Nothobranchius furzeri: one gene and its partners. The protein of the gene in region 1 purifies or fractionates together with the protein of each later gene. This does not show direct contact. Links are inferred from orthologs where the notes say so. Each region holds a gene or a part of one and is shown on either strand. Other genes may lie near its edges. The genes, in order: cdc26, anapc1, anapc13, anapc4, nek2, anapc7 and anapc2.

Region 1 (4,275 bases):
GGTGGGTGTTGCTGCAACCATTAATTTCTGAGTCAACTCCATTATCTATCAGATTTGATATTTTTTTTAGATTTTATGATCTACATCACTGACAAACCTAAAAAAAAATCTATTATTTCCTGATTTCTTGTAGTCTGCTGTGTCCATGAATTAAATACCATCTTCTTCTCATCATTTGAGTTTTTCCAGTTCAGAGAGGCTCTTGATGCTCACCACCATAGCCTGTTCTGGTGGTCCAGTAAGCTTGATCATTACTTTACAGTTCCTTATCCAGGTATCCTGTATTTTCCTCTCCTTCTTCAGAATTCTTGCTTGCCAGGCAATCTCTGCATTCTTCTTTGTCAGGTGCTCATTTACATACACTCCTGTGCCCTTAAGCTTCTTTACGACCTTTAACAAGTCAACTTTATGTTTCCTGCTCACAAACTGAATTATTGTTTTGTTTTTTTTTTCCAGTTTTTTTAGGAATTGTGTAGCATGCAGCTATAGTGGTGCTGTCAATAGAAATGCCCTTACTTCCAAAGAACTGAATAACTTGTTTCTCCAGTGACAAACTATTAATGGTAAATGGCCTGTATTTGATATAGCGCCTTCTGAGTCCTGCAACCCCCCAAGGCGCTTTACAACACAATCAGTCATTCACCCATTCACACACACATTCACACACTGGTGGGGATGAGCTACGATGTAGCCACAGCTGCCCTGGGGCGCACTGACGGAGGCGAGGCTGCTGAGCACAGGCGCCACCGGTCCCTCCGACCACCACCAGCAGGCAACGTGGGTTAAGTGTCTTGCCCAAGGACACAACGACAGCGACAGACTGAGCGGGGCTCGAACCTGCAACCTTCCGATTACGGGGCGAGATCTTAACTCCTGTGCCACCATCGCCCACGCAATGGTGGGTTAGGGTTAGTTCATTATTTATTAACTAACATTAACACTAATTGATAAATTTTTATTATGTTGTTTGAACCCAAGGGTCTCATTATCAGATTTTTTTAACTTGTTGGATTGATCTAAAAGTGCCCCCTTTTTTTTTTTTTTTTTTTACTTTGAGCCCCGCCCCGTCAAAGGTCTCTGCACGGCCCTGGTTTCAGTAGAACGAGCTCTACGAAAACCTGACTGCCTGGAAGCTATCATAGATGTTATGAGTGAGTTAGTAGTGAACTGGTGCTGCAACCCACACCAGTAGTGAACTGGTGCTGCAACCCACACCAGTAGTGAACTGGTGCTGTAACCGTAGCTGTGCAGAACACACACGGACCGCACGACGAAACCATAGAAGCGTTCTGATGTTCGCACGTGACTCGGAGCTAACGGCTCACGGACACGCGTGTCTAGCCGAGCACGCGCACCTGCTGTTTGGACCATAAGCGTGTTTCTCTGTTTTAAAGCTTCGTTTGTTTTGTTGTTCAAACTTACCGTAAAAACAGACGAAGCCGCAACGTCTCCTAGCACTGCAACCCGGATATGAAACTGTTGGCTTCCGGGTCAAAGCTTCTTTTTCCGGTTGGTGGATCCGTGGACTTATGGGTAATTAACCAATCTACCTGTTAGCCAGATAACCAAACAGCTGACGATCAGGACGAAGGAGAGTCTCGGTGCGTCAGGTAAAGTCACCTGGGTTCGTCACACAAACGGGTTCGGGTGGACGGAAGTAAAGTTGACATGATGTTCACAGATTCGACTTTTCCGCCTCAACAACTTCGGATGTTCTGGAACATAACGCTGTGTGGAGTCAACCCGCAACACCTGCGTTATTTAAAACCTCTGCTTGCGACGCTTTTACGTTGATGGGGTGACGGTGGCACAGGAGCCCAGAGCCCCCCCTTAACCGGAAGGTTGCAGGTTCGAAACTCATAGAGTTGCGTGTTTTCCCCATCCATGCGGGGCTTCCTTGCGGGGTTAGACGCGGTTTTCCCCCCCTACAGGCTAACTCTTGTAGGTCTGCCACATAAATCAACTTGCCCTGCTCTCCTAACATTTTTTGATAAATGTGTCTTTAATTAGGTGAATTTTTAATCTCCTCCACAGTAGGACCCTAAACCTAGTGGCGCCAAATCGTCACAGCTGATCGATACTCTTGTGCCCGGCTTGGTAAACCTTTTAGGTTAAGAAAAACTGGTTTTCTGATGTTGGGTGAATTTTTCTAACTTGAATTATCAGTAGGTCCTACACAATGCACGGTGGTGCCACCTGCTGGTGAAGGTGGAGGTTTGTCAGCAGTGGCAGAACCAACATTAGGACGAATTACTGGATGCTTTCTTTGCAGTGAGATGATAAAGCATCTGGAGGGCTTGTTAGTGACCTGAGCAGTGAGAAGCGTGATCAGTGAAACATGTAAATGAATGATAAACGACCCACGCTTGTGTAGCACCTTTCAGAGCCTGAGGACTCCAAAGCGCCTTACACTACAGTGCATCATTCATCCATTCACACGCTGGTGGAGATGAGCTACGATGTAGCTACAGCTGCCCTGGGGCACACTGACGGCCAAGGCTGTCAAGCACTGGTGCCACCGGTCCCTCCGACCACCACCAGCAGGTAAAGGTCTTGCCCAAGGACACCACGGCAGCATTCTCTGTCTGAAGCTGGGATCGAAATTGCCACCTTCGGGTTAGTGGACAACCCGCTCTACTCCTGAGCTGCTGCTGTCCATCATGTAGTTCTGAGCTGCTGATAAAATTCAGGGCTGACTACAAAATCTTGCTCATCACATATAAGGCCACTCACAACCTTGCCCCTCGTACCTCTCCCATCTCATAAAGGTTTCTACACACTCCCCAGTTGCCATCAACCGGCACAGTCCCCCTGCCCGTCCTGTCACCGTGGGACGTCTGCCCCCTAACCCCTCTCCGTGGAAGTCATTACCAGCTGAACCCTCCACCTGTTGAAGCTTTTCTCTTCCCTGTAACTATGTTTGACGTTTTATCGTGCTTTTGAATGCACCACTCATTTAATGCTTGTTCGACTGTTTCGTTTGCTTTTACTTTACAGTGAACTTGAGTTTTTAGAAAGTATTTTTACGATGATTATTCACTTCACACATCTGTTTGACTGTAATATCCAGTTGTTGGTCTTCTATTTTTAGCGCTAACTATTTGTTTCTAATTCACTGTTAGCCATATTGGCTAAACGTTAGCTTCTAGCCACTTCAGCCAATATTAAAGTCAAACAAAACAATGCCGTGGCTTCTTAACTTCTGGGTCGCTCCTGTCACTGGCTTTTTTTTTCCTGTTAAAGATTTAAAAATATTCCTACTATGAGGAAATTCAAGCTCCTTCAGTGTTGTTAGTTTGGAGTCAAAGGCAAGAAATCATATAAAATATCTAAACAAATGAGACCTCCTAACCACCAGCTCACATCTACGACCTGGCCTCATAGCCTGCTACAGAGCGACTTCATGTTTGTTTACGGTCCACTAAACATCAGGTTTCAGCAGGTTTCAGCAGGGGACATTTGCACGGACATCACACGTAAAAAATATTTCTAGTCGATTGTTTTTCTAAATGTTAGTATTTGTTGTGCAGGTGCATAACAAAAACGAGGAAGATGCTGAGGAGGAAACCAACTCGTCTGGAGCTGAAGATCGATGACACAGAGGAGTTTGAGAGCATCAAGAAAGAGCTTGAGGTTTCAGTCACTCTTCTTTGTTCTGACCTGTAGCTGTCGTCACCAGATCTAATCAGAGGGTGACTATTGATGTGCTTTTTTTGCTGTCTTTGGTTTTTCTGACATCAGATGAAAACAGGTTGTTGATCTTAACATGTTTGTTTTTCTTTGTTTAGTCCAGAAAGCGTCAGCGAGAAGAAGCTGAGGCAGGAGGAGGAGTGGGTGGAGCTTCTGTCATTGGTGTGGATCTGATTGGGGGTGCAGCTTCTGGCTCAGCATCCTCTTCCACTGCTGCGTCCAGGGCAGAGCTGATCAACGAGAGAATCGGCTACAAGCCCCACCCTAAACCCGCCACGCTGCCAACCTTATTTGGAAGTTTGCAGTTTTAATAAAACTCAGAAAACATGTTTGTATGTATGTGTGTGTTTGTTTGTATGTGTGTGTTTGTGTGTGTGTGGACCACTGGTACGTTACACCAGTGAGTCATGGCAGATGGCTGCTTATATGGAGCCATGATCCTCTGGAGTTTTGTTCCTGTTAAAAGGGAGTTTTCCTCTCCACTGTCGCTGCATGCAACAGTGGAGAGGATCAGACAAGATCATCGGGTGAGGGATCAGAAAAAGAGCAGCCCGAATACCTCTTATGATAAATTATATAAATGGA
Region 2 (3,947 bases), on another chromosome or scaffold:
CTGACCAAGTCCTCCAAACACACCCACATCACCCCGCTTCTCCTCCAGCTTCACTGGCTGCCAGTCAACTTCAGGGTTCATTTCAAGATCCTGGTTCTGGTCTATAGGGCCTTACATGGACAAGCACCATCTTATATTGGTGATCTTCTTAGTGCCTACACCCCCAGCAGGTCCCTGAGGTCCAGTGATCAAAGCCTACTGGTTGTGCAGCACACCAGGCTAAAGACCAAAGGTGACAGATCATTTGCTGCTGTGGCCCTCAGACTCTGGAACTCTCTCTCCCTGAACCTGAGATCAGTGGACTCAGTGGTCTCCTTTAAAAACCAGTGGAAAACTCACCTGTTCAAGCTGGTTTTGGTATGACCGTCATCACCCTCTCATTGTTCTGCTTTCCCTACCTATTCCACCTTCCTCAGGATCCACTGATCTCCCTCTTTCCTATTCACTCTCTCTCTTTCTTTACATTTTTTATCACAATTGTCTATTTTTTGCTCATTTAAAATATATTTCTAATTATTTTCTAAATTATTTTTTATTGTAGCGTTATGAATATGCCATTTCTGCCCTTAACAGCTGCCCTTTGACACAGTGACAGTGTGCATAAGTTGCCAAGGTCGTGCGCTTGCTTGTGATGTTTACATTCCAGCAAAGAAGACAGAAGAAGGACGAAGAATGCTTTTCATTAGTTAATCAAAGAACTTTATTTCTAATAAAGCTAATCAAAACAACTGTTGGTCAATAATAATCAGGTGACTGATCTGTGAAATCACAATGTTATGATTTGTGTTTAATGAATAACAGGACTTTGGACTAACTGAGCTAGACATCCTGATCCACATAAGGTAAACACATGACACATTGTTCACTCATCCAATCAGAACTTCCTTTCTGATGTGTGGCAGAGCTCTGTGGTGTTTAGTTAATCTGTCCACTCCGATTCGCTAAGAATCATAAACAACTGAGCTTAGTAAAAGAGAACAACGCCATTTTAATTTAGTTCCATCGCAAGTTTCAACGTAGTTCCAACGTGAGTTCAACCAGCTCTCAAATCCATCTGATGTACATCATCGCTAAGTGAAGTACAGGCTGGCCAGTTGTATTTTCTACTTTTAAGCTGAGAACTGTCAAGCTGGAAAACTATGTGACGCTGAAATCTGCCGTTGTACCGGGAGACTTGCCATAGACTGGTTTGTTGTGCTGCCGACGCTGTTTCACCAGTTCCAGCACCAAGGAGGGTTGAGGACCTGGCATCTGGATCTAACACGGAGGTCTTCGCACGGTACGTAGATCGGCATAGATAGCGTCTCATGTCTTCCTCCTGAAGTCCATCGTCGATCAGTTAGGGCAACAACAACTCGCACTCAGACTCGCTTTCACCAGATGGAGGTTCTGAACTGACACACACACACACCAACACTTCAGCTTACATCCATCTGCATCCATCATTAGAGAGTTAGTCCTGGTGACTGTTTCGAATAATTATAAAATAAATATTCTTAAACGTCCCAGCTCTTTCTCTCTTCTTGTCTCTAATTCAATACAAGGTGTTTGAATAAAATCCCCTGTGGTAAAAACAACCTCTTCTGATTCTAAGGGCCCGGTCCAAAGATTAATGATCCAGCTCAGGTTTGAATCAGTGATATCTCTGGACCTTAATAAAAGTGTAAGAATATACCAATTATATTCCGCTACATTATATTTTACTTTTTTTTGTGAAGCGCTTCGTGATTTTTATCTTGAGAGGCGCTATAGAAAAGATATTTTCTTCTTCTTCTTCTTCTTCTTCTTCTTCTTCTTCTTCTTCAGCTTGACTGATTTCTAACCTTTGTATGTACATTAAGTCAACTCATTCAAACCATATAATTTCTAATCTGATTTTCACCCACCAGAATGCTAATTTTTGTTTTTATATGTTTGTCTGGTTTTATTTTTTAATTCAATACATTATTAACCAGGTATCTTTTTCTTTTGTTACGGCCATTTTAGCCGGGTACAAACCAGCAATATGTATTATTTGTCAAACACAATATCCCTACGTATTGATGGTTGGAAATCATAGTTATTAAACACATTTGTCTTTATTTTTACCATTGTAATTTAATTACCCCAAAATCTTAAAAACAAATTTGACTTATCGATGAAAAATCGATTTGTTTGTGTGGTATGAACTATACATTAATTGGTTTTGTATTTTTAGACAAGTTAAGGGACTTCACTATTAATGTTTTACAAAACAGACTCACAAAGTAAAGAAAAAATACACAAAAGTCTCTGGTCGAGCACAGTCGAACACAGACCGTCCTGATCACGACAGCCAATCAGCTCCCAGTACGTAAATTTGTCGTTGCTTATTGGCTGAGCCGTGGAGGAAAAGGCTGGCTGGACAGCAAAGATGTCCGCGGTCATTTGAAAACCTGTTGTAGCCAAATCATTATTTTGCCAGCTTTATCGACTCGTTTTGTCTGTACGCAGCGGTCACACCGTTGTGCTCAAACAAGCCTTACAAAAATAAAAGACGAGGACTCCGCGACAAGAGCCAGACTATTCCTTATTATCAGGCAAGCGAATAAATATGTCCCTGTATTGTTAATGCTAATGCTAGCTAACACGCTATCTAGCAATTAACAGTGGTTCTATATGAGGGATTAGCTATAGCATGCTAATGTTTGGTTACTTCCAGCTGTATAATAAAAAGAGAGCTTTGCTTAAGGCTGCTAAAATAACCTATCGAACCTATTATGAACAGACGCGTAGCTTCTGAAACTATCGTTGACTACAACGATCGTAACAATCTTTAATAGAGAAGTGATGACTTAATTCGTGCTATTCTGCAATTGACTGTACTTATAGAATCTTAATTAAGAATAAATAAAATTATAATACAGTATTTAAAGACATTAACTGTTGCCAGAGTTCTTATTTAAAATTTAACATGTTTTCAGGTCTGAATAGGAGAAAATGCTATTTTAACTGTTCTGTCTAAATTGTATTCATGTCTTCCACACATGATTCAGTCTGTCTATCTGTCTAGAGAGATAGATTTGTGTGTGTGTCTTTCTAATTATTTATCTTTATTCTTATTTTGCCACAGAAATAATGCTGAAATCTGTAACTCATGTCGGAAGTCGTGTATGAAGAGACAGCCACGATGATTGCCGCAGGGGAATTGCAGTCGTTTGTCCCGTTTGGCCGCGAGCACTGCAGGAACCATCCAAATGCCTTCAACCTGCAGCTTCGAGAGCTCCAGCCAGCCTCTGAGCTCTGGTCATCTGATGGTGCTGCTGGCCTGGTAGGGTCTCTGCAGGAAGTCAGTCTGCAGGAGAGAGAGAGGGTGAGATTGCATGATCTTTGAGCGTTAATTTGAAATGTGCCATGTTTATTGTTTAGTAGTTCTTTGGTTCACACTAATGAATGGCGTTTAATTGAAGGAATGGTGGCAGCTAAGGAAGGGATGCACGGGAGTCAAAGAAGAGGAGGTCATGTTTGAAGAAGAGCTTTATGCGGCTGGAAACGTGGTTGTTTGGAGTCAAGGCAGCCGGACACAAGCCTCTAGTGTGTACAAGGCTTTCACTGTTGACAGTCCAGTGCAGCAGGTTGGCAAATATGAAAGCCAAATATCAATTTCTGTTTAGAAAATATAAATTTTAATTGTTAAATTCAAAGCTCAATGAAATCTCATGGTTTCTTTCCCGGTCTTGACACAATCTTGTTTTTTTCTGAAGGCTTTATGGTGCAACTTTGCTGTTCTTCAAAACAACAATGACGGTACAGTAATATTTAAGACCGTTTGTTGTCGGCTAGTAAGAATTGCTGCAGCTCTACCTTTCTATCTTTATTGAAATGACTACATGCTTTTAATTGTTGTCTTTTTGCAGAAGAAGTGGAGCAGACGATTTGTATTGTCCAGAGCAGCTGTATTAATGTTCACACTGTGACTGGGAAAGATT
Region 3 (3,978 bases), on another chromosome or scaffold:
TAAATCTGTGAGACTTTGGGTGGTAGGAGTGAGGTGAGCTTTCAGGGGTCGGAGGGAAACTGCCATAGGCACTTGAAGTCGTCCTGTACAGGATCCTTCCAATGTTTGGGTTTGTTGCTGATTTCATGCTTCTAGTTGCCGAGGTGGTAATGGAAGAGACTGCTGGGTTTCCAGGGCTAGTGCATAGTTCTGTGATTTCTGTCTGCTGCTCTTGTGACAGGGACATCACTGGAGTGTCTGCAAAGTAAAAGAAAAGTTTACAACACTCAACCCCTACAGGACCAATCCTGCTGAAGTCAACTTCAGTAGTTACATATATATATATATATATATATATATATATATATATATATATATATATATATATATATATATATATATATATATATATATATATATATATATTTGTGTGTGTGTGTGTGTGTGTGTTTGCTTAGAAAAAGTACAAAATTATTATTAATATATAAAATTAATATTAAAATTATATTGTTAAATTATAAACAGCTTGCATTATTATTAGCTTTTTAAAATTTTGGCTATGTGAGTGCTTTTTGCAAACAGTATTATTTAGTGACATTTAAAATCTGAGGACAAATAAACCACATCTTTAATACCGCACACGCGCGCACACACACACACACACACACACACACACACACACACACACACACACACACACACACACACACACACACACACGCACGCACACACACACACACACGCACGCACCCACAGACAAATACGTTTAGCTAACATTTCCTGTTTTGAAGTAGTCGGCTAGGGATTTTTACAGGATTATTGGATACATACATAACTAGATGCGTCTGAGGCTTACTAGGGCCTCCGCTGTTTGCGTACATTGTTATACTAATTACCTTAAAATACACAAATACCGCAAAAATGTCCGCGCTGTTTTGATCAGGCCTCGCCAGTCGCCAGCTCTTCCGTGGGTCAAGAAAAACGATGCGTCTGGTTTCCATGGAAACCACTTAGACGAAGGAAACGGAATCGTTCATCTTTTTTAGTTTTGATTGCTTTTTACTTTTATAACAGAGTGGTTTATTGATAAACAACAACATTGAATAAATCAGACTGAATTAAATTGCTGGTCAAAATATAGAACTTTGTTGGCTTTGTAAAAAAATTCAGAAACTCTCCACTGCACCTGAAGGTATCGTTGTGTCGTCATCATCAAGCGTCGACGCCTACGTCTAAATTAAGCGTCTGTTTACTGTGAGCTAAGCGTAGCGTCTCCTCTAAGTGTATATTCTATCGAAATTATTTACCGCTGCTCTCTTCTTTTATTTCGATGAACTTCAGCTTTCCCTGCGAGGTTGAGTGGGTTTTTGTTGAGAGCTGTTTCAGCTGCTGAACCTGAAATGGACAGTGAAATTCAACGAGACGGGAGAGTCCTGGATCTGACTGATGATGCCTGGAGAGAAGACAAACTACCGTATGAGGATGTCACCATCCCCTTGGTAAAAACGTTAAACGTGTTTGCATTAAAATACAGTGTGGTTAAACAAATGGTAACGTATCCCTCAAATGACCATTCCGAAGTTCAAAATAAATCATTTGTGAATTATAAAAAAGAGCAAGTCACCCCCAAATCAATTTCTTTTTGCTGATAAAATACATAAATAAGTGTCTAATCAAGCTGTAGACACATGTAGTCAATAATTTGGCATTTTAGAGCATCTTAGTTAAAATTTAAATATTCTGCCCAGAACTGTCAGTGTTACACCCTCTTCAGGTAATTTTAAATCTGCTATCGCTATTGGCTAAGAGGTACCCTATGATGTCAGCTGGCACCATATGATGTCACAATAGGCATGTTTCCATTACCAGAACTCCAGGGTAGTTCCTGGGATGGGGAACTTGACCAGGAGATAGGATGTCCCAGTCCTCTCAGCTGTTGTGTCTCCATTCAGATTCAGCCCTTTCAGAACTTGCACAGACGTCAGCGGGTCACGACTGCTTTGGCAGTGAGTGATGTCACTGATCAGCCCAGAAAAGTGCCCAATGTGTCATTAATAATATCCATCCATCTTCTGAACCCGCTTTGTCCACGTAGGGTCGCGGGGGGGCTGGTGCCTATCTCCAGCGGTCAACGGGCAATTAGGCGGGGTACACCCTGGACAGAGAGCCAGTCCATCGCAGGGCAACACAGAGACACACAGGACAAAAAATCATGCACACACACACACATACACACCTAAGGACAACTTGGACAGACCAATCAACCTAACAGTCATGTTTTTGGACTGTGGGAGGAATCCGGAGAGAACCCACGCATGCACAGGGAGAACATGCAAACTCCATGCAGAAAGATCCCAGGCCGGGAAGCGAACCCAGGACCTTCTTGCTGCAAGGCAACAGCTCTAACCACTGCACAGCCCTCATTAATAATATTTAAAGCATTTATTTTATAGAAGTATATCATAATTTAATCCATTCAGAGGACAAGAGCAGCTCTGAGTTTTGTGAGACAAGCCCCTGGAGTTATCCCCCAGGCTTTCAAACAGGCAGTGGTCCAACCAGTTTTGAAGAAAGCTGGTTTGGACTCCACCTCCCTGGAAGCTTCCATTTTTATCTAAGCTTCTTGAGAAAGATGTTTTTACACAGCTCTCTGACCATTTGCAGACTTTTAACCTTTTAGACCCTTTGCAATCCGGGTTCCGTCCCGGTCATAGTACTGAGACTGCCCTTCTTAGTTTTTAATGATGTTCTGTGGTCCACTGATTCCGGCTCCCATGTTCTACTGGTGTTTCTGGATCTCACAGCTGCTTTTGACACCGTAGACCATGCTATACTTCTGTCCCGACTGAACCAGGTAGTGGGCATCCAGGGAACTGCCCTAAACTGGTTCAGATCGTACCTCAGCAACAGAAGTTTTTGTGTGAGGCTGGGGGATTTTGCCTCTGAAACCTCCTCTCTTCCCTCTGGTGTTTTTATGTTTCATTAAAACCTCAAGAGTCAGTGCAGCTGGCTGTGGATTGCCTGAATGAGGTGAATGGCTGGCTTTATAATAACCTTTTACATCTGAACGAGTCTAAGTTGGAAGCTCTCTTGTTTGTTCCTCCCTCTCCCACTTCAGTTAGTCCTGTCCTACCACCCTGTTTTCGCAGCTTAGTGAAGCCAACCATCACTAACCTGGGGATGGTTTTTGACCCGGAGCTGCAGATGGACTCCCACATTAGCCAGGTGGTTAGATCCTACTTTTTCCAGCTTCATCGGCTATCAAAGATGGAAGTCCATCCTGACTAGACACGACCTGCACACAGTGATCCATGCATTTGTGGTCTCTCGCTTGGATTATGCAAATTCCCCTTTTTATGGATCCACGTCTTCCTCGGTTGTGCGCCTACAGCTGGTGTGGAATATGGCGGCCTGCCCTTTGACGGACACCAGAAGGAGGGAGCACATTACTCCTGTTCTGACCCAGCTGCACTGGCTCCCAGTTTAAAATTTTACTTCTTGTTTTTAAGTCACTATCTTTATGTGCCTCTCTACTTGACTCAGCTGGTTCAGCCCAGTTCAACTCCGGTTGTAGCTAGATTGCTACCTTCGTTAGCTTAGCTCCCACCTCCGCGTTGGCTTTGGGTTAGCTTCAGGTTAGCTTGTAGCTACATTAGCTTCAGTTTGACCGGGTGTCGTCAGTTGATCCCAGCCTTACAGCCCCACCCTCAGCTCCGCCTCTCTTCCCTTTTGTGGAATTGTCTGGGCTTGACGGAACCTGTGACACGGTCAAAATGGCGGTGGTGGCCACCTCCCATTTTGGCACAAAAACTTTTAATTGGAGCCTATGGAAACTCATTGTCCATATATATATATATATATATATATATATATATATATATATATATATATATATATATATATATATATATATATATCGATGGTTCAGCCTTACGTACCTGGTCGAATTCTTCAATCAGCAGACCACCGCCTGTTACAGGTCCCGAGTGTTTGGGTGAA
Region 4 (4,132 bases), on another chromosome or scaffold:
AAGAGGCTTTGCCTCTCTCCCCAGAAGAGCAGCCTTATTGGTCAGATGACAGGTAGGATCTTTCAGGTTTAGGGTCCAATTGCGTTCTGCCTCTGCAGTGGGCTGCTGTCCCATCTGTGCTGGTCCCTAACTGCTCTCTGAGTGGGGCTAAATTTGGCCCCTAGCTCATGTTACACAGCCAGACTGCTGGCAGGAGCAATGAAGACTGAGGGGGTCTAGGTGAACAGAAGGAGCTCAAGGTGTTGGTTAATTATACACAGAAAGCACAGGATGTTGGGATGGCTAAGTTTCACACCAATTGTGCTGTTGTATGCAAGTACAACAGAATGTTTGTAATCTTTTATGATAATCTGAACTGGCCACATCTGAAAACACACAATAATCACCCATTGACCTCTCAGACTGAGCTGGTTCCTCCATGGCTTTAAAACAACTCAAAATTATTATGAGGATCTTGAAGAACCCGGTCACTATTCGGTCCGATTCCATTCTGCACACACATATGGAATGATGCTCAGCATTTTTGTTAAACTTCATGCATTTCCTGATTTCTCACCAAGCGAGACAGATATCCTGGGCCTTGGAAAGAATAAACCATGACCACCATGCAGCCTCACTTGGTCTATTTCTAGTCCACCATCACATTTTGTGCTCTCTGAGCTATTCTGGCTCTTCTTCATTCTGCTGATTACAGTTAAGTGCTGCTGATAAGTCCAGTAGGAGTTTCCATATACACTCACAATACACACGTGTGCAAACACTTGGTGAGTAATTTGGATTTCTACTTGACAATTGTCATCACCCAACCCTCTGTATGAAGTGTTATTTATAAATAACTACTTTATCCAATGGCGACGTCTCCATATAACATGTGTACAGCATCTATTTATGAGTACTGAAATATTTTAGCATAGTTTTATATCACCAGAATGAAACCACCCTTGCAAACTTTCCTATATTTCTAATGGAATTAATATAATTTAGTCAACCTTGAATTTTATGATCACTTTTAACTTTTAAATCCAAACAAATTCTAAGCAATGCATTCAATTGACAGAGAAGTACAAAAACACATTATGAAAAAACTTATTTTATATTTTGTCCTAAACCCTCAAAGTTTAAATCTACTTTTTAATCTGCATAGAATATAACATTTATTAAAAAATAAAAATAGGACCAAAACGTTAACTTTAATTTGTTTTAAATCCTTACCAAAGGCGCCATCATGGGGTGCAAATCTCTAGACATATTTAGGAATCGAGTTTTTTTTTATTCCCCCCCCCCCCCCCCCCTTCTGAATACGTTTGTCTCTTCTCGGCTGCCGTTGCTCTACAGGGATTGGTGGAAGTAGAAATATGGCGGTGTTTGAGTGACTGCGAAAATATTACGATGAGATATTAAATTCGTATATTTACGATTTGGGTTTATTTGGTGTTATCGTCTGGTCGGGTTAAAATAATCGCTGTGAATCATCAGTTTTACCTGCTAGCTAACAGCTGTTAGCAAAACCGGTGAGTGAGGCTCCAGCTAACGAGCGGCTAATTTATGCTTCATAAAATGAGTTGGAAATGGAAAAGTGTTGTGCCTTTAGCTCCCTTTTTGTTTTTGAATCTCGTTAAGTACTTCAATGTTTTCTCTTTTAGTTGTGACCCTGAAAACTCTACTGTTATCACGCAGAAAACACATAAATGTTTCAAAGCTCGTCTCCATCGCAGTGTAATTTAAGGTCTCGTTGCTCTCCGCATTGAGTTGTATTGTTTAGTGTGTCTTATTGCTGACGTCATGCTCATAACTCGGTTCTTTCATTACTGATTCTTGACTCTGCATTTGGGCCTCTGTATTCAAATGCTAACATTTCTATTTTTCTTTATTGTTACAATTATTTATTATCTTTACAGAAAAAGATTTTTAATATTTAATAATCAGTTGTATATTCAATAGTAAACGAAATATTGAAAAGGTATGTGATTTTTGATGATTATTCTGTTATGCATGTACAGGTTTATTAGATGTTTTACAGATCACTCATTGAATCTGTTCTCACTTTTAATAGCCCATCTTGGTACATCTTCTAAACCTTGTAATTAGGCCCCTGCTGGCCATTTATCACACAATAATGAATGTAAACTTTCTTTCTTTTTCAGCTAACAACATGCCTGCCTTTCGGCAAGTGGGAGAGAAGCAGCTTCCAAACCCGGTCCTCTGTATGGCATGGTCTCCAAAGAGGGATCTGATAGCTCTGGCCAACACAACTGGGGAGGTGACTTTAAATCCCTAACTGTTCTGAATCAAGGTGACTGTTTCCTGTTGTTTGGATGGTTTATTATTGTGATTTTCAACAGGTGCTACTGCATCGCTTGGCTAGTTTCCACCGGGTTTGGAGCCTACCACCCAGTGAATATACTGGAAAGAAGATAACCGCACTTGCTTGGAGGCCTGATGGCAAAAGTAAGGGATTTTTTTTTATCACATTTTTGTCTTAATGGAATTGTGAGAATTTGTTTTTTGTAACCCCAGTATTGGCCTTCAGTCTTGGAGACACCAAGCAGGTTGTCCTTTGTGGGGTTGAGAAAGCAGAGATCCTCCACATGTTTCCAGTGCAGAGTCCTGTAACCTGTATGAACTGGATGGAGGTGATGGAGGAGAGCAGGTAATCAGGAAGCTCAACAAACATACCACGTTCTGTGAAATCTTGTCAAAGCTGATATGAAGGATTTTTTGTGTGTGATTCAGTGTCCTCAGCTCCTTTTACACTTCAGAGGATGAATCTAAACTTTTTCTTCCTAAATTACCAACTCTTCCCAAGAGGTAAAATTAAAAATGTTGTCACAAGAAAAGACATTTTGGATTGACTGGCCTGATATTTGTCCAAACTTTTGTTTTCAGCTACAGCACAACTTCAAAGATCTTCAGGTGGGACATCTTTTTTTTTTATCATAGATGTATGTGGCATGTATAGCACAAACAGAAACTGACTGCATTCATTTCTGTTTCACAGTGAGGAGAAGTCTGATGAGATACTCAACCTCCTTGGAGAAGTGAGGTAAATATGGTTAGAGTCACTTACTGCCAGGAGCAAATGGACATCCTTAAGATATTGGAATTTTTATTTATGGGAACCAATGAAAGCTGTCTCCATGCAGACTAAATGTACTTGTTCTTGGAGGAGATGGTGGAAATGTGGAGCTGTATGCGTACGGGATGTACAAGATTGCAACGCTGGATGGGGTAAGGCAGCTCTGTTTGTTCAGATGAGTTGTTCCATTTGTCGTCTGTAAAAAAAATTTACCAAAAATGTTTTTAAGTGACTCTAAAGTTAGCATAGATATTTGAAATCATAAAAATTCTAATTTAAATGCAGGAAAAAAGTAGCTAATTATGCCAAAAATCTTTAGTAGACGGCATTAACGGATTTGACTGTGACTTTAATTGATGAACTTTCTACAGGTTTCAGGAACATGTCGCAGTCTGAGTCTGTCGAGTGACCTCAAGTCTCTGTCTGTCATCACAGAAGTCAAGTCTGCTGACAGCAGCGCAGACATCTGTTACGTCCAGGTGAGATGGACACGTTCCTCCTCCACACTTTGTTTTTCTTTCCTTTAACTCTAACTTCCCTCCTTGTGTTTCAGCTGGACACAGGATTGTTGTCGGACTGTTTGCCTGAACTCACCAGGATGGCGCGTAAGTTCACTCACATCTCCACCCTGATGCAGTACCTGCACCTGTCACTCACATGCATGTGCGAAGCGTGGGAGGACATCCTCCTGCAGATGGATCATCGTCTCACTAAGTTTGTTCAGGTCAGTTGTTTTTGTTTCCTGTCAGAGTTTTTCCTGGCAGACCACCACACTTCCTGCCTGCTGTGTGAGTTTGTTGGACAATTAGCAGAATTTAGCATGTGTGCTTATTAGTGATGGGATTTATAGCTCTTTCAAGGCGGCTGCTCGTTAGTTGTTCGTCTACCTTAAAGAGCAGTTCAAAAGACTAGATCCCTTGAACGAAGCCATGGGGGTGTATTTGGGAGCAACGTGTTCCTCCGGTGTCCATGAGGGCGCGCGGAGAGTGGGTGTCACAGCAGTGGTGGGGGTTGAGCGGCTAGGGGGGTTGTCGTTACAGGAAGACAAGATGAACG
Region 5 (3,970 bases), on another chromosome or scaffold:
GCCATTTTCAAAGTTAAACAGTTGTAATTTAACAGCAGTATTCTGGGGTATTTAGCCTATTATAGCCTCCAGAAATGGTCAGTTTTCATCTACAGTGTGCCCTCTTCAGTATCTGGTCATTTGGAGACATAAGTCTTAACTGGTGCTTTTAATCTGCAAGAAAGATACTGTTGCTTGCCCAAGGTCCCTCGCAAGCTCCCTCTTATCTAAGACTGCTTTGCTTCACAGAACAAGAAGGAGGAACTTTCATAATTAAATCATGTAATGAAATGAACAATATGAGTTTGTTTCTCTTCGTTTATTTCATTCAATCAATCAAATAAAAGTTACATAAAACAACTCATGTTCCCAAATAATCATAAATGAAAAGGAGCAGAAAGAAGCAAAAACTTATATCTGCCTCTTTTTCACATCAAGACATTACCCACCACCCCTCACACCCCCAACACAAAACAAGTCTATCAGCCTACTTAAGTTCTATTATTTCATCATGAGACATTTGACACTTTTTTAAAATACAGAAAATGATTTAGATTGTTTCATTTCACTGTCGAGACAATTTGTTACGTCCCCGACAGGTGTTGTAAAAATGTGAAGGATGGGGGTAACATAAGAACTGGTGGAGGAGTTTAAAATGGGTTTATTTGTAACAAAAAGGTTTTAAAAACACAAGCAAACAGATCTCTCTAAAAAGGCTAACATTACATAGCCAAATTATCAACTATAAAACACCTGCTTAAAACTTATATTAAAAGTTTAACCGAGCAGAAGGTGTTTTAAAATCACAAAGTTGATAAAAAGTCCCAAACAATTTACTGAAATATACAATGTTAAATTTATATGTTTTTATCACAACATCTATTCGTCAAAACACTTGTTTGATTTGTTCTATAAATATTGAAAAATATATATATGTATGTATATATATATATATATATATATATATATATATATATATATATATATATATATATATATATATATATATATATATATATATATATATATATATATATTAGATGTCATCATGGTCCTGTCATTCATACCATGGGTTTTAGCGCCATCGTGTGGACAGTTTAACAATAATACCGTCTACCCGCGCTACTATCGCGGTACTTAGGTACCTGACAACCTCGTGAGTTGTTTCTTCACATTGACCAATCCGAAGCCACAAGATGGAGCGAATGAGCCAATCACGAGCTGGTATTTCAGCACTAATTTTAAACAGAAGAAATACTTCCTGATTCTGAGAAACAAACAACACACAGAAGCGATTTAAGTGAGTAAATAATAAGTAAACGTACATTTCTATTTTTTTAATCATCTGGTCAGACAAACGATACTTTGCTAAAAATCTCAATAAGTTTTGAAGTTTCTGGTTTAAACGAGCTTTAAATCTTGTGTGAATCTGCCCTAACGTTGACGCTAGCGTTGACTAAAACAAGATGCCGACCCGTGTTGAGGACTACGAGGTGTTGTACACCATAGGCTCCGGTTCCTATGGAAGATGCCAGAAAGTGAGACGGAAAAATGACGGGAAAGTGAGTATGTCTCCAAACGAAGTCTAAAAAAAACAGCTGGTAAAATGTTTAAAGCAAGACGATTCGCCATAAAGTGCCTGTAGTTGTTCATTGCAGTGATTGGGACTCTTAACAGCTGAAAAAATGTGTGTGAAACATTAAAATAATTAAACATTTAGAATTTTAATAAGTTTGAAACACAGTCTGTATTGCTAATTACACCAATCTATCAAAATATACTCAGAATTAACACAATATAAGATTTTAAAAAAGTGCTGCAAAGTAGTTTATAGTTGCCAGATATATTCAACAGCCTAAGAGACCATTCACTTGCTCCTTTTGGAAATCTTTTGCAGCTTTTAATTAGTATTTCAGGATAGAAAGGATTTCATTTGACAAAAAGGCCCTTTTTACGTCTAGTGAATACATTTCATATCTGCCCCTTTTTTCTTAATTGGAGTAAAAACTGTATGTTTTCACGACAAAACTCTTTGTAAATGATGCCCATGTGTTCTGTAGATTCTGGTGTGGAAGGAGCTGGACTACGGCACCATGGCAGAGAGTGAGAAGCAGATGCTGGTGTCAGAGGTGAACCTGCTGCGGGAGCTCAAGCACCCAAACATAGTGAGATACTACGACCGCATCATAGATCGTACGAACACCACGCTTTACATCGTCATGGAGTACTGTGAAGGTGGAGACCTTTCCAGTCTCATCAGCCGGTGCATCAAAGAAAGGTAAGGGCTCACGAATGCGTCTGTCCTCTGTGAATCTGCAAAGTTACAAGTTAGTTCCTCTCCAGGCGTTACTTGGAGGAGAGGTTCATTCTGAGAGTTATGGCTCAGCTCACCTTGGCCCTGAAGGAGTGTCACAGGCGGCGTGACGGCAGGGCTACGGTCCTGCATCGGGACCTGAAACCAGCCAACATCTTCCTCGACATTAAACAGAACGTTAAGCTCGGTGACTTCGGTCTAGCAAGGATTCTGAACCATGACACCAGCTTTGCAAAGACTTTTGTGGGAACGCCGTACTACATGTCTCCTGTAAGTTACTTGATGATGTCACATCTGTTGAGCTTTTGATTATAAAAGTTTCTGGGATATTTGCAATTTTTGTTTTATTGTCTTCATTTGAACATATTACTAGAATTTTATTTATATTGTTTAGTTATGAATCATTTTCACCTGTATATGAGACGGTTGCTTTTCCAGATCTACAGTTTAAAAATAGATTTTACACATTAAAATAAACATTTAAAAATCTCTCTTTTTATAGAAATGACTCAATTTCAGTCATTATTGTTCTTGCAGGAACAAATTAACAGGATGTCGTACAACGAGAAGTCTGATATTTGGTCCCTGGGGTGCCTGCTGTATGAACTTTGTGCATTATTGTAAGCTCTTCCACACATTTTCCTTCCCTGTAGCAGTTTTCCAACACCCCTAAGAATATTCCCTGGGTTTTTCTCATTTAGGCCTCCGTTCACAGCGTACAACCAGCAAGACTTGGCAGAGAAGATCCGAGAGGGAAAGTTCAGACGAATCCCATACCGGTACTCTGAGGAGCTGAATGCCTTACTCAGCAAGATGCTCAACTTAAAGGTTTGGAATGAATTATTTAACAATGTTGTAATAGTGTGTAAGATGGCTGTGCACTTTTGTAGGCACTGTGCATGTTTTCCTGCTGTGATGATGCACAAATTTGAATTTTCCTCTGGGATCAATGAAGTATTTTTGAATTGAAATCATTCCTCACTGTTGGCAGGACTATCTGAGGCCGTCTGTGGAGTCGATCCTCCAGAGCAGTCTGCTGAGAGACGTGGTCTCCGAGGAGCAGAGGAAGGCACAGATACGGACCCAAAGGAAGTCTCCAGACCCTGACCGCGCCCCCCATAAGCCAGCTGAAGTGTCTATCCCAGCTGCAGAGCTCCGACTGAGGGAACAGGCAGTGCGGGACAGGGAACTCGCCCTGAGGGAGCATGAGGAGAGACTTGAGAGTAAGACTTGTGCTACACAAACATCATGTGTAACAGAACGGTAATATTTAACCCTGTTTCTAAGAAGTTGGGTCACTTTGTAAAAATGCAAATGATTAGCAACATATGTAGCCTTCTTTTGATTGTTGTGGAATTCATTATCTAGAAGAAGTTTGTTCCTCCACCTGCAAATAAAACGTTAAAGTTCCTAATGCTGATTTTAGAAAGAACTAAAAAGGGAGAATCTGTTTGGGGAATAAAGCAAAGTTTCCCCATTTTTGAAAAACAAACAAGCATTTGTTTCAGTAGGTGGCACTGATTTGAACCCTGTAGGTGATGTTCACAGCAATAAATAAATGAAATAAGCGTATCTGTAACTAAAGGTGCTGGTTAAAGACTGATGCGTTGTAGTCAAACCAATTTGTGTGGATGGAACTGGTTTATTATCTTTAACAAAAAACAAATATTACAGTCA
Region 6 (3,241 bases), on another chromosome or scaffold:
CCTGGTGTCCTTCTGATGTCGTCTGAGGCTGGACACACGATACTGCAACAGTAAACTGTTATGGTTTAAGAACTGTTTCAGCACACAACCTAGCTCTAAACCAAACAAGTTTATTATACATTTATTACAACATGTAAAAAAAAAAACACTGGAAACTTTGCACTTGAGTTGATGTTTGAGTCAGGCTGGAGAAATCTTCCTGCAACACCTTCAGCCCCAGCCACACTGGCAGACAACAGCCACATTTCGCCAGTGCTGGTGGTTTGTTTACTCACCTTCAGCTCAACTAAAACACTTCCTGTACAGCACGGGCCTCCATCTAACACAGCACTGTGAAGGGTACTGGAGGTCAGATTCAAAGTGAAATGAGAAAGCTCCTCAGGATTTCTCACCAGAGAGAAGCATAATCACCATTAGTGGTACTGGGTGTCCCTTGGTTTTACGTAGCTGATGGGGTTTGTTATTTACAAGTAAATCCTCCTGATGGAGGCCGGTGGTGGCTGGCAGGTCCGGTTCTGGCATGAAGCTGACTCTTAGTAAAAAACCCCTCAGAAACATTAGCTTTTACGCTTGATAGCTCCCCCATCTTTAACCTCAGCAGCACCGCTCCCATGGAGCTCACCATCGTGATCACATGACTCCCAGGGGCCACAATGGCTGAAGGCATCCAGTGTGATGGAGCAGTCCTTACTGGCACCGGGTCACTGCATCCCAAACCACTGCTCCTGATCGGCCCACTGGGCTGCTTCACTGTCACTGCCCTCCAGATCTCCGTCCTCTCCGCTGCCCTCCATGTCGTCACCATCCAGCTCCACCGTGGCGTCTGTTGGACTCTCCTCCTTCTCCATCTTTTGCATGCCTTCTAAGGACTTCTGATCATTAGGGTCGAGGCTGAGGAGGGGCAAATGCAGAATGTAAATTTTTCTCATAACACATCATCATCATCACAATGTGAAGTCTACTGAAACCGTCGGAACGGTATTATCCATGCTGTTGTAGCCTCCAGGAATGGTCAGTTTTCCACCTACAGTCGGACCTCTTCAGTATCTGGCCGTTTGGAGACATAAGTCTTAACTGGTGCTTTCAATCTGCAAGAAAGACTGTTGCTTGGCCAAGGTCCCTCGCAAGCTCTCATCTAAGACTGGTTTTTATTCACAGAACAAGACGGATGAACAATATCAGTAACTAATCATATAATCATGTAATGAAATGGACAATGTGGTTAAATGAAATAACGTCACTGCAAACAGATATTTTCTTATCCACAAATTCAGCACTTTCATATCTGAGAGGTGTGTATCGGAGTTTGTTGGCAAAACCCCTTTACAGGGCAAGTTCTGATTCGTCAGTAAACCAAGATATGGCCGTTATTTAAACAGCATCACTTCCTGAGGGATTCAGTAGAGCCCAACTCTGACTGGCCATCGGAGGGAAACTCTGCTCCCATCGCATCTTTGACAAGCTGTCAAAACCCTGTTGCACGCTACAGCTGACCGCAAACGGTTCCTTCAGAACAAAGCTGAACCAACTTCCAACTCCTTAAGAGTTATTCCTAAGACGCAAACAACTACCCGTCGTGACCTGGAGACATCTCGAGACCGGTCTAGTCGGCACTGCAGTTTCTTCTACGGACTTCGGTACCTTTGGGGTCCCCGGACTTCAACACATTCCGGATCTACCACGGGGGTCTCCCAGAGGATACGTAGGCTCACAGATTGCGTCTGATGTGGTTTTACAAACCATCACTATAGTTATAGCAGACCAAATTCACTCCCACTCAGAACTCAGTTTCTCCAGATACGACGGCTCTGATAACGTCACATCATCACACCTCACTTTCCATCCACTTAGATTCATTCATCACATGAAGTGTTCCTAGTTGTCATGTTTTTAATTGTTTAGAAAATAAATGTCTTACTCTTTATAAACTTGACTGATTTAATACGAAGTGTCTGACAATCCCTGAATAAACAAAGAATTCTAAATCTTCTGGTTAAACATTCAAAGACCAATCAGACAGAATTTCCATATTTAAATAGAAATTCATATCTTGTTGGTCAAATGTAGTGTGGTATATTGAGCTTTAAAAGCACCCAAAACACATACATATGCTATCCCTACACTGTGAAGGTGAAGGGATCTCAGACAGGCTCTGAAAGATTGATCTGTTTACCTTAATGCTATACTGTACTGGTCCATGGCCTCCTGGTAATCGTTGACAGCTACCAGAAAATCTCCCAGCATCCTGTGCAGGACACAGTCGCTTTGATTGGCCAGGGCATTTCGTAGGAGAGCAATCCCCTCTTCGTGTTTCTGCTCTCGACCTGAACAGAGAAACCTGTGAGTTGTGCTCCCTCCCTGGTTAAAGTTACAGTTGTTAGTTGAACGTACTGAGCAGCTCAGCCTTTTTCACCACAGCCTTGGTGTAATCAGGTCTCTGAGCAAGTGCTTTGTCCAGAAGGGTTTTGGCTTTCTCCTGAGTCACAGGGTCCTCCAGGCACACGGTGGCGAGGATGGTCAGCGTCTGAGCATTGGCCCCCAGGGTCTTATAGATGTTGTTTGCCATTCCCATTGCTTCTCGAATCCCATTGGACGCCAGGTAACAATCAATCAGACCTGTGGTAATTCAGTTATTGTAAGCAGGCGAGAAACACCCAGCACCGAAAGACTTTTCCAAAACCCCAGCGTGCCTTCATAGCAGTCGAGTCGACAGGGAGCCAGACGCATGGCCTCTCTGAAATGGATGATGGCCTCTTGAACCCGACCCATGTTTCTCAGGGCTGCCCCTTTCAGGAGGAGGGCCTGCACGCTGTTGCTGTTCAGCTGGATGGCCTTGGCCCCCAGGTAGAGGGCTCTGGAGTAGCGCTTGCTATAAAAGCTGTGACAACTGAACAAAAACATTTAACCTGATAGAAGCATCTTCACAAAGGTCTAGTCGGGATGTCTGCTTAGAGACTCACCCAGAGATCACCCAGGGTTCAGCATGCTGGTCAGATATGTTAAATAATCTCCCTCCTAGGACTTCAACATCCTCCAGGTGTCCCTCTCGGGCCATCAGGTAGCCATAAACATCCATCCCTTCATGTGATTTAATTATATACATTAATATAAAAACAACTGCATTTCCTCCACAACAGCACTGAAAAAGATGGTCAAGTTAGGAAAACCACACGACTGCTAGGCGGTCATAGGCATGAACAGCTGTCTGTGACTTACCTTTGATGAGGTAAGGGTCCAACAT
Region 7 (3,500 bases), on another chromosome or scaffold:
AGAACCACATTATTTAATTAATTAGCTGCACGTTCTTCTGTCCTCACACACACACACACACACACACACACACACACACACACACACACACACACACACACACACACACACACAAAAGGGACTGTCTCAGCTGTTATTTTCGTTAAGGAGTGTGCACGTACAGCATGCGCGCCTCGTGCACGAGTCTACTATTGAAGCTGCCGTTATGCTTTTGGCCTGAGGGGGCAATCGCGAGCATAAAAATTAAAAACTCCGTCAAGTCCCTTTAAGAAACAAAAATTGGAATAAAAATCTTTATTACCAGGATATTTCCTTTCAGTTGTGATCAGAATAAATTCAAAATATTAATTTAAGACTTCATGATCTAATTTATTATTTGTCCTTAAATCTGCTTCCTACAATCTACTTTTATGATGAAGAAGAATCTGACATTTTCAGTTTCTGGCTTGTTCACGTCTGAAAAACAAAACCCGTGTGAGGTTTCTGGTTCAGCACAGAGAGACGGGACGGATGAGATCTCAGAAATGTAACCTAGATTCTGTCTGAGACCTAAAACTGGTTCTGAGACGATGATCGTTCTCTGTCTGTGTCTCGGGTTTTAAACTAAACCAGGAGTTTGTTTTTATTTATTGTTTGTGTCTGAAAATTTTCATTTCTCTGTCCTTTTCTGTTTAATAGAAACAACCCAAAGATTCAGTAAAGTTCTGTCATCAAAGCTGACCTCAGGCTGGAAATGGGTCAGATTTATTCCCCTGTGGTAAATCATGTTCTCTCCTTGGTTTCTGTTTCCCAGATTTTCCGGAATCTAAAGCTGCCATCGAGGATCTGAAGTTCTGCTTGGAGCGAACCAACCAGAGGCAGCAGCTCCTCGTGTCGTTGAAATCAGCCTTTGAAAGCCGCCTGCTGCACCCAGGTCTGTGTCAGTGTGAAGGACATCGACTGAACTCTGAGATCAAACTGCAAAGTTCACGTTGGGTTAAAATAAAAGACTAAAAATGCACCAAAACCAAAGTGGTAAAAAATAAAAGGCATTAAAATGCTGAAAAAGAAGCTTTTCTGAATAGAAGGTAAAAAACTGACCGGTTTAGATTTCTAAAACTGGCTGTTTATTAACAAACAAGTGGAGAGCTAAAAGCATTTCTTTGTTCCCGTCAGAGAAACGTTTCCTTTTTATCAAGCCCACGTGTTTTATGTGGAATCTGTTTGTTCTTCCAGGCGTTCACACGGCCGACATTCTCACCGTTTACATCTCAGCCATCAAAGCTCTCCGAGAGCTGGACCCGTCCATGGTGATCCTGCAGGTGGCCTGCCAGCCCATCCGTAAATACCTCAGGTAGGTCCGGTTCTTCCAGCGCTGCTTTAGTCTACCATCACCACTTGGAACAGTTCAACCTTCTGATGAAATACTTCTGATAGAACAACACAGATCTTGTTATAAATTGTTCGTTCTTTAATAAAAGTCTTTTTTTTTTCACTACACCCACTGTGTTCTTCTGATTCACATTTTAATTTACACTTTGGAGGTTTTTTTTTCAACTATATTTTCATTTATTGACATTAAAATAAAAATACAAAACTAAATTGCTAAAAGCCAAAATGAAAAAGGGGACAGAAAGAAGAAAAACGTATGTTATCTGCCCCTTTTAACTAAAATAGCAATAATACAAATGAAACAATCATATGATTCTTAAAAAAATATGAACAATATAGTTTCTGGACTGGTTGGCCGACACAACCTCAACCCATGAACCGAAAAAAAAGAGAAAAAACAAGTTGCACAGAAAGAAGCACAAAGTTATACGCATATATACCTACATATATACTTACATATATACACATATATACTTACATATATACACATATATACCTACATATATACTTACATATATACACATATATACCTACATATATACTTGCATATATACACATATATACCTACATATATACTTACATATATACACATATATACTTACATATATACACATATATACTTACATGTATACACATATAGACTTACATATATACACATATATACCTACATATATACACATATACACCTACATATATACACATATATACTTACATATATACACATATACACCTACATATATACACATATTCACCTACATATATACACATATAGACTTACATATATACCTACATATATACACATATATACTTACATATATACACCTACATATATACACATATATACTTACAGTACATATATACACATACATATATATACACATATATACACATACATATATATACACATATATACATACATATATACACATATATACCTACATATACACATATATACCTACATATACACACATATATACCTACATATATACACATATATACCTACATATATACACATATATACCTACATATATACCTACATATATACACATATATACCTACATATATACTTACATATATACACATATATACTTACATGTATACACATATAGACTTACATATATACACATATATACCTACATGTATACACATATATACTTACATATATACACATATACACCTACATATATACACATATATACTTACATATATACACATATATACTTACATATATACACATATATACTTACATATATACACATATACACCTACATATATACACATATAACCCTACATATATACACATATAGACTTACTTATATACACCTACATATATACACATATATACCTACATATATACTTACATATATACACATATATACCTACATATATACACATATATGCTTACATATATACACATATATACTTACATATATACACATATATACTTACATATATACACATATATACTTACATGTATACACATATAGACTTACATATATACACATATATACCTACATGTATACACATATATACTTACATATATACACATATACACCTTACATATATACACATATATACTTACATATATACACATATATACTTACATATATACACATATACACCTACATATATACACATATACACCTACATATATACACATATAGACTTACATACCTACATATATACACATATATACTTACAGTACATATATACACATACATATATATACACATATATACACATACATATATATACACATATATTCATACATATATACACATATATACCTACATATACACACATATATACCTACATATATACACATATATACCTACATATATACACATATATACCTACATATATACTTACATATATACATACATATATACACATATATACCTACATATATACCGTAAATCCTCTAATACAGGCCCGGGCCTGTATTTGACTCAAGCTCATCAAGCTCCAGGCCTTTGTTGGAAGGAGGGCCAGTATTAGAGGCAGGCCTCTATTTCTATTTGAGCAAAATGAACTAATGGTTCGTTGGAGTTTTTGACAATTAATATTGTGCCCACGTTTTCAAAGTTAAACACATTTCTTTTAACAACGGTAGTTTCTGCTTCAGCCCT

What was found.
Region 2: the proteins of cdc26 (region 1) and anapc1 purify together in Homo sapiens (co-immunoprecipitation; 6 studies listed by BioGRID and IntAct, with this or other methods). This does not show direct contact. The link is inferred for Nothobranchius furzeri from reciprocal best matches to the Homo sapiens genes CDC26 and ANAPC1.
Region 3: the proteins of cdc26 (region 1) and anapc13 purify together in Homo sapiens (affinity purification with mass spectrometry; 4 studies listed by BioGRID and IntAct, counting the BioPlex papers as one, with this or other methods). This does not show direct contact. The link is inferred for Nothobranchius furzeri from reciprocal best matches to the Homo sapiens genes CDC26 and ANAPC13.
Region 4: the proteins of cdc26 (region 1) and anapc4 purify together in Homo sapiens (affinity purification with mass spectrometry; 11 studies listed by BioGRID and IntAct, with this or other methods). This does not show direct contact. The link is inferred for Nothobranchius furzeri from reciprocal best matches to the Homo sapiens genes CDC26 and ANAPC4.
Region 5: the proteins of cdc26 (region 1) and nek2 purify together in Homo sapiens (affinity purification with mass spectrometry; 3 studies listed by BioGRID and IntAct, with this or other methods). This does not show direct contact. The link is inferred for Nothobranchius furzeri from reciprocal best matches to the Homo sapiens genes CDC26 and NEK2.
Region 6: the proteins of cdc26 (region 1) and anapc7 purify together in Homo sapiens (affinity purification with mass spectrometry; 5 studies listed by BioGRID and IntAct, with this or other methods). This does not show direct contact. The link is inferred for Nothobranchius furzeri from reciprocal best matches to the Homo sapiens genes CDC26 and ANAPC7.
Region 7: the proteins of cdc26 (region 1) and anapc2 purify together in Homo sapiens (co-immunoprecipitation; 7 studies listed by BioGRID and IntAct, with this or other methods). This does not show direct contact. The link is inferred for Nothobranchius furzeri from reciprocal best matches to the Homo sapiens genes CDC26 and ANAPC2.

The regions. Positions count from the first base shown.
Region 1 is NC_091746.1:69,564,739-69,569,013, forward strand, and holds cdc26 (anaphase-promoting complex subunit CDC26), read left to right. Parts: upstream 1-1,475; 5' UTR 1,476-1,610; intron 1,611-3,530; 5' UTR 3,531-3,552; coding exon 3,553-3,633; intron 3,634-3,788; coding exon 3,789-4,001; 3' UTR 4,002-4,019; downstream 4,020-4,275. UniProt on the Homo sapiens protein: Component of the anaphase promoting complex/cyclosome (APC/C), a cell cycle-regulated E3 ubiquitin ligase that controls progression through mitosis and the G1 phase of the cell cycle.
Region 2 is NC_091752.1:26,758,982-26,762,928, forward strand, and holds the start of anapc1 (anaphase-promoting complex subunit 1), read left to right. Parts: upstream 1-1,147; 5' UTR 1,148-1,279; intron 1,280-2,419; exon of another isoform or gene 2,420-2,558; intron 2,559-3,091; 5' UTR 3,092-3,115; coding exon 3,116-3,331; intron 3,332-3,428; coding exon 3,429-3,593; intron 3,594-3,722; coding exon 3,723-3,765; intron 3,766-3,875; coding exon 3,876-3,947. UniProt on the Homo sapiens protein: Component of the anaphase promoting complex/cyclosome (APC/C), a cell cycle-regulated E3 ubiquitin ligase that controls progression through mitosis and the G1 phase of the cell cycle.
Region 3 is NC_091744.1:86,652,942-86,656,919, forward strand, and holds the start of anapc13 (anaphase-promoting complex subunit 13), read left to right. Parts: upstream 1-1,178; 5' UTR 1,179-1,379; coding exon 1,380-1,478; intron 1,479-3,978. Other genes in the region: pierce1 (piercer of microtubule wall 2 protein), read right to left, coding at 1-226. UniProt on the Homo sapiens protein: Component of the anaphase promoting complex/cyclosome (APC/C), a cell cycle-regulated E3 ubiquitin ligase that controls progression through mitosis and the G1 phase of the cell cycle.
Region 4 is NC_091748.1:39,288,460-39,292,591, forward strand, and holds the start of anapc4 (anaphase-promoting complex subunit 4), read left to right. Parts: upstream 1-1,332; 5' UTR 1,333-1,511; intron 1,512-2,144; 5' UTR 2,145-2,152; coding exon 2,153-2,260; intron 2,261-2,342; coding exon 2,343-2,448; intron 2,449-2,517; coding exon 2,518-2,650; intron 2,651-2,733; coding exon 2,734-2,808; intron 2,809-2,886; coding exon 2,887-2,913; intron 2,914-2,998; coding exon 2,999-3,043; intron 3,044-3,143; coding exon 3,144-3,228; intron 3,229-3,447; coding exon 3,448-3,555; intron 3,556-3,629; coding exon 3,630-3,800; intron 3,801-4,132. UniProt on the Homo sapiens protein: Component of the anaphase promoting complex/cyclosome (APC/C), a cell cycle-regulated E3 ubiquitin ligase that controls progression through mitosis and the G1 phase of the cell cycle.
Region 5 is NC_091742.1:7,800,782-7,804,751, reverse strand, and holds the start of nek2 (serine/threonine-protein kinase Nek2), read left to right. Parts: upstream 1-1,170; 5' UTR 1,171-1,279; intron 1,280-1,287; exon of another isoform or gene 1,288-1,429; 5' UTR 1,430-1,445; coding exon 1,446-1,541; intron 1,542-2,039; coding exon 2,040-2,257; intron 2,258-2,322; coding exon 2,323-2,563; intron 2,564-2,830; coding exon 2,831-2,913; intron 2,914-2,994; coding exon 2,995-3,121; intron 3,122-3,284; coding exon 3,285-3,516; intron 3,517-3,970. UniProt on the Homo sapiens protein: Protein kinase which is involved in the control of centrosome separation and bipolar spindle formation in mitotic cells and chromatin condensation in meiotic cells.
Region 6 is NC_091757.1:28,332,236-28,335,476, forward strand, and holds the end of anapc7 (anaphase-promoting complex subunit 7), read right to left. Parts: coding exon 3,217-3,241; intron 3,079-3,216; coding exon 2,961-3,078; intron 2,888-2,960; coding exon 2,691-2,887; intron 2,617-2,690; coding exon 2,392-2,616; intron 2,325-2,391; coding exon 2,174-2,324; intron 892-2,173; coding exon 702-891; 3' UTR 501-701; downstream 1-500. UniProt on the Homo sapiens protein: Component of the anaphase promoting complex/cyclosome (APC/C), a cell cycle-regulated E3 ubiquitin ligase that controls progression through mitosis and the G1 phase of the cell cycle.
Region 7 is NC_091745.1:17,485,645-17,489,144, forward strand, and holds part of anapc2 (anaphase-promoting complex subunit 2), read left to right. Parts: intron 1-793; coding exon 794-913; intron 914-1,215; coding exon 1,216-1,333; intron 1,334-3,500. UniProt on the Homo sapiens protein: Together with the RING-H2 protein ANAPC11, constitutes the catalytic component of the anaphase promoting complex/cyclosome (APC/C), a cell cycle-regulated E3 ubiquitin ligase that controls progression through mitosis and the G1 phase of the cell cycle.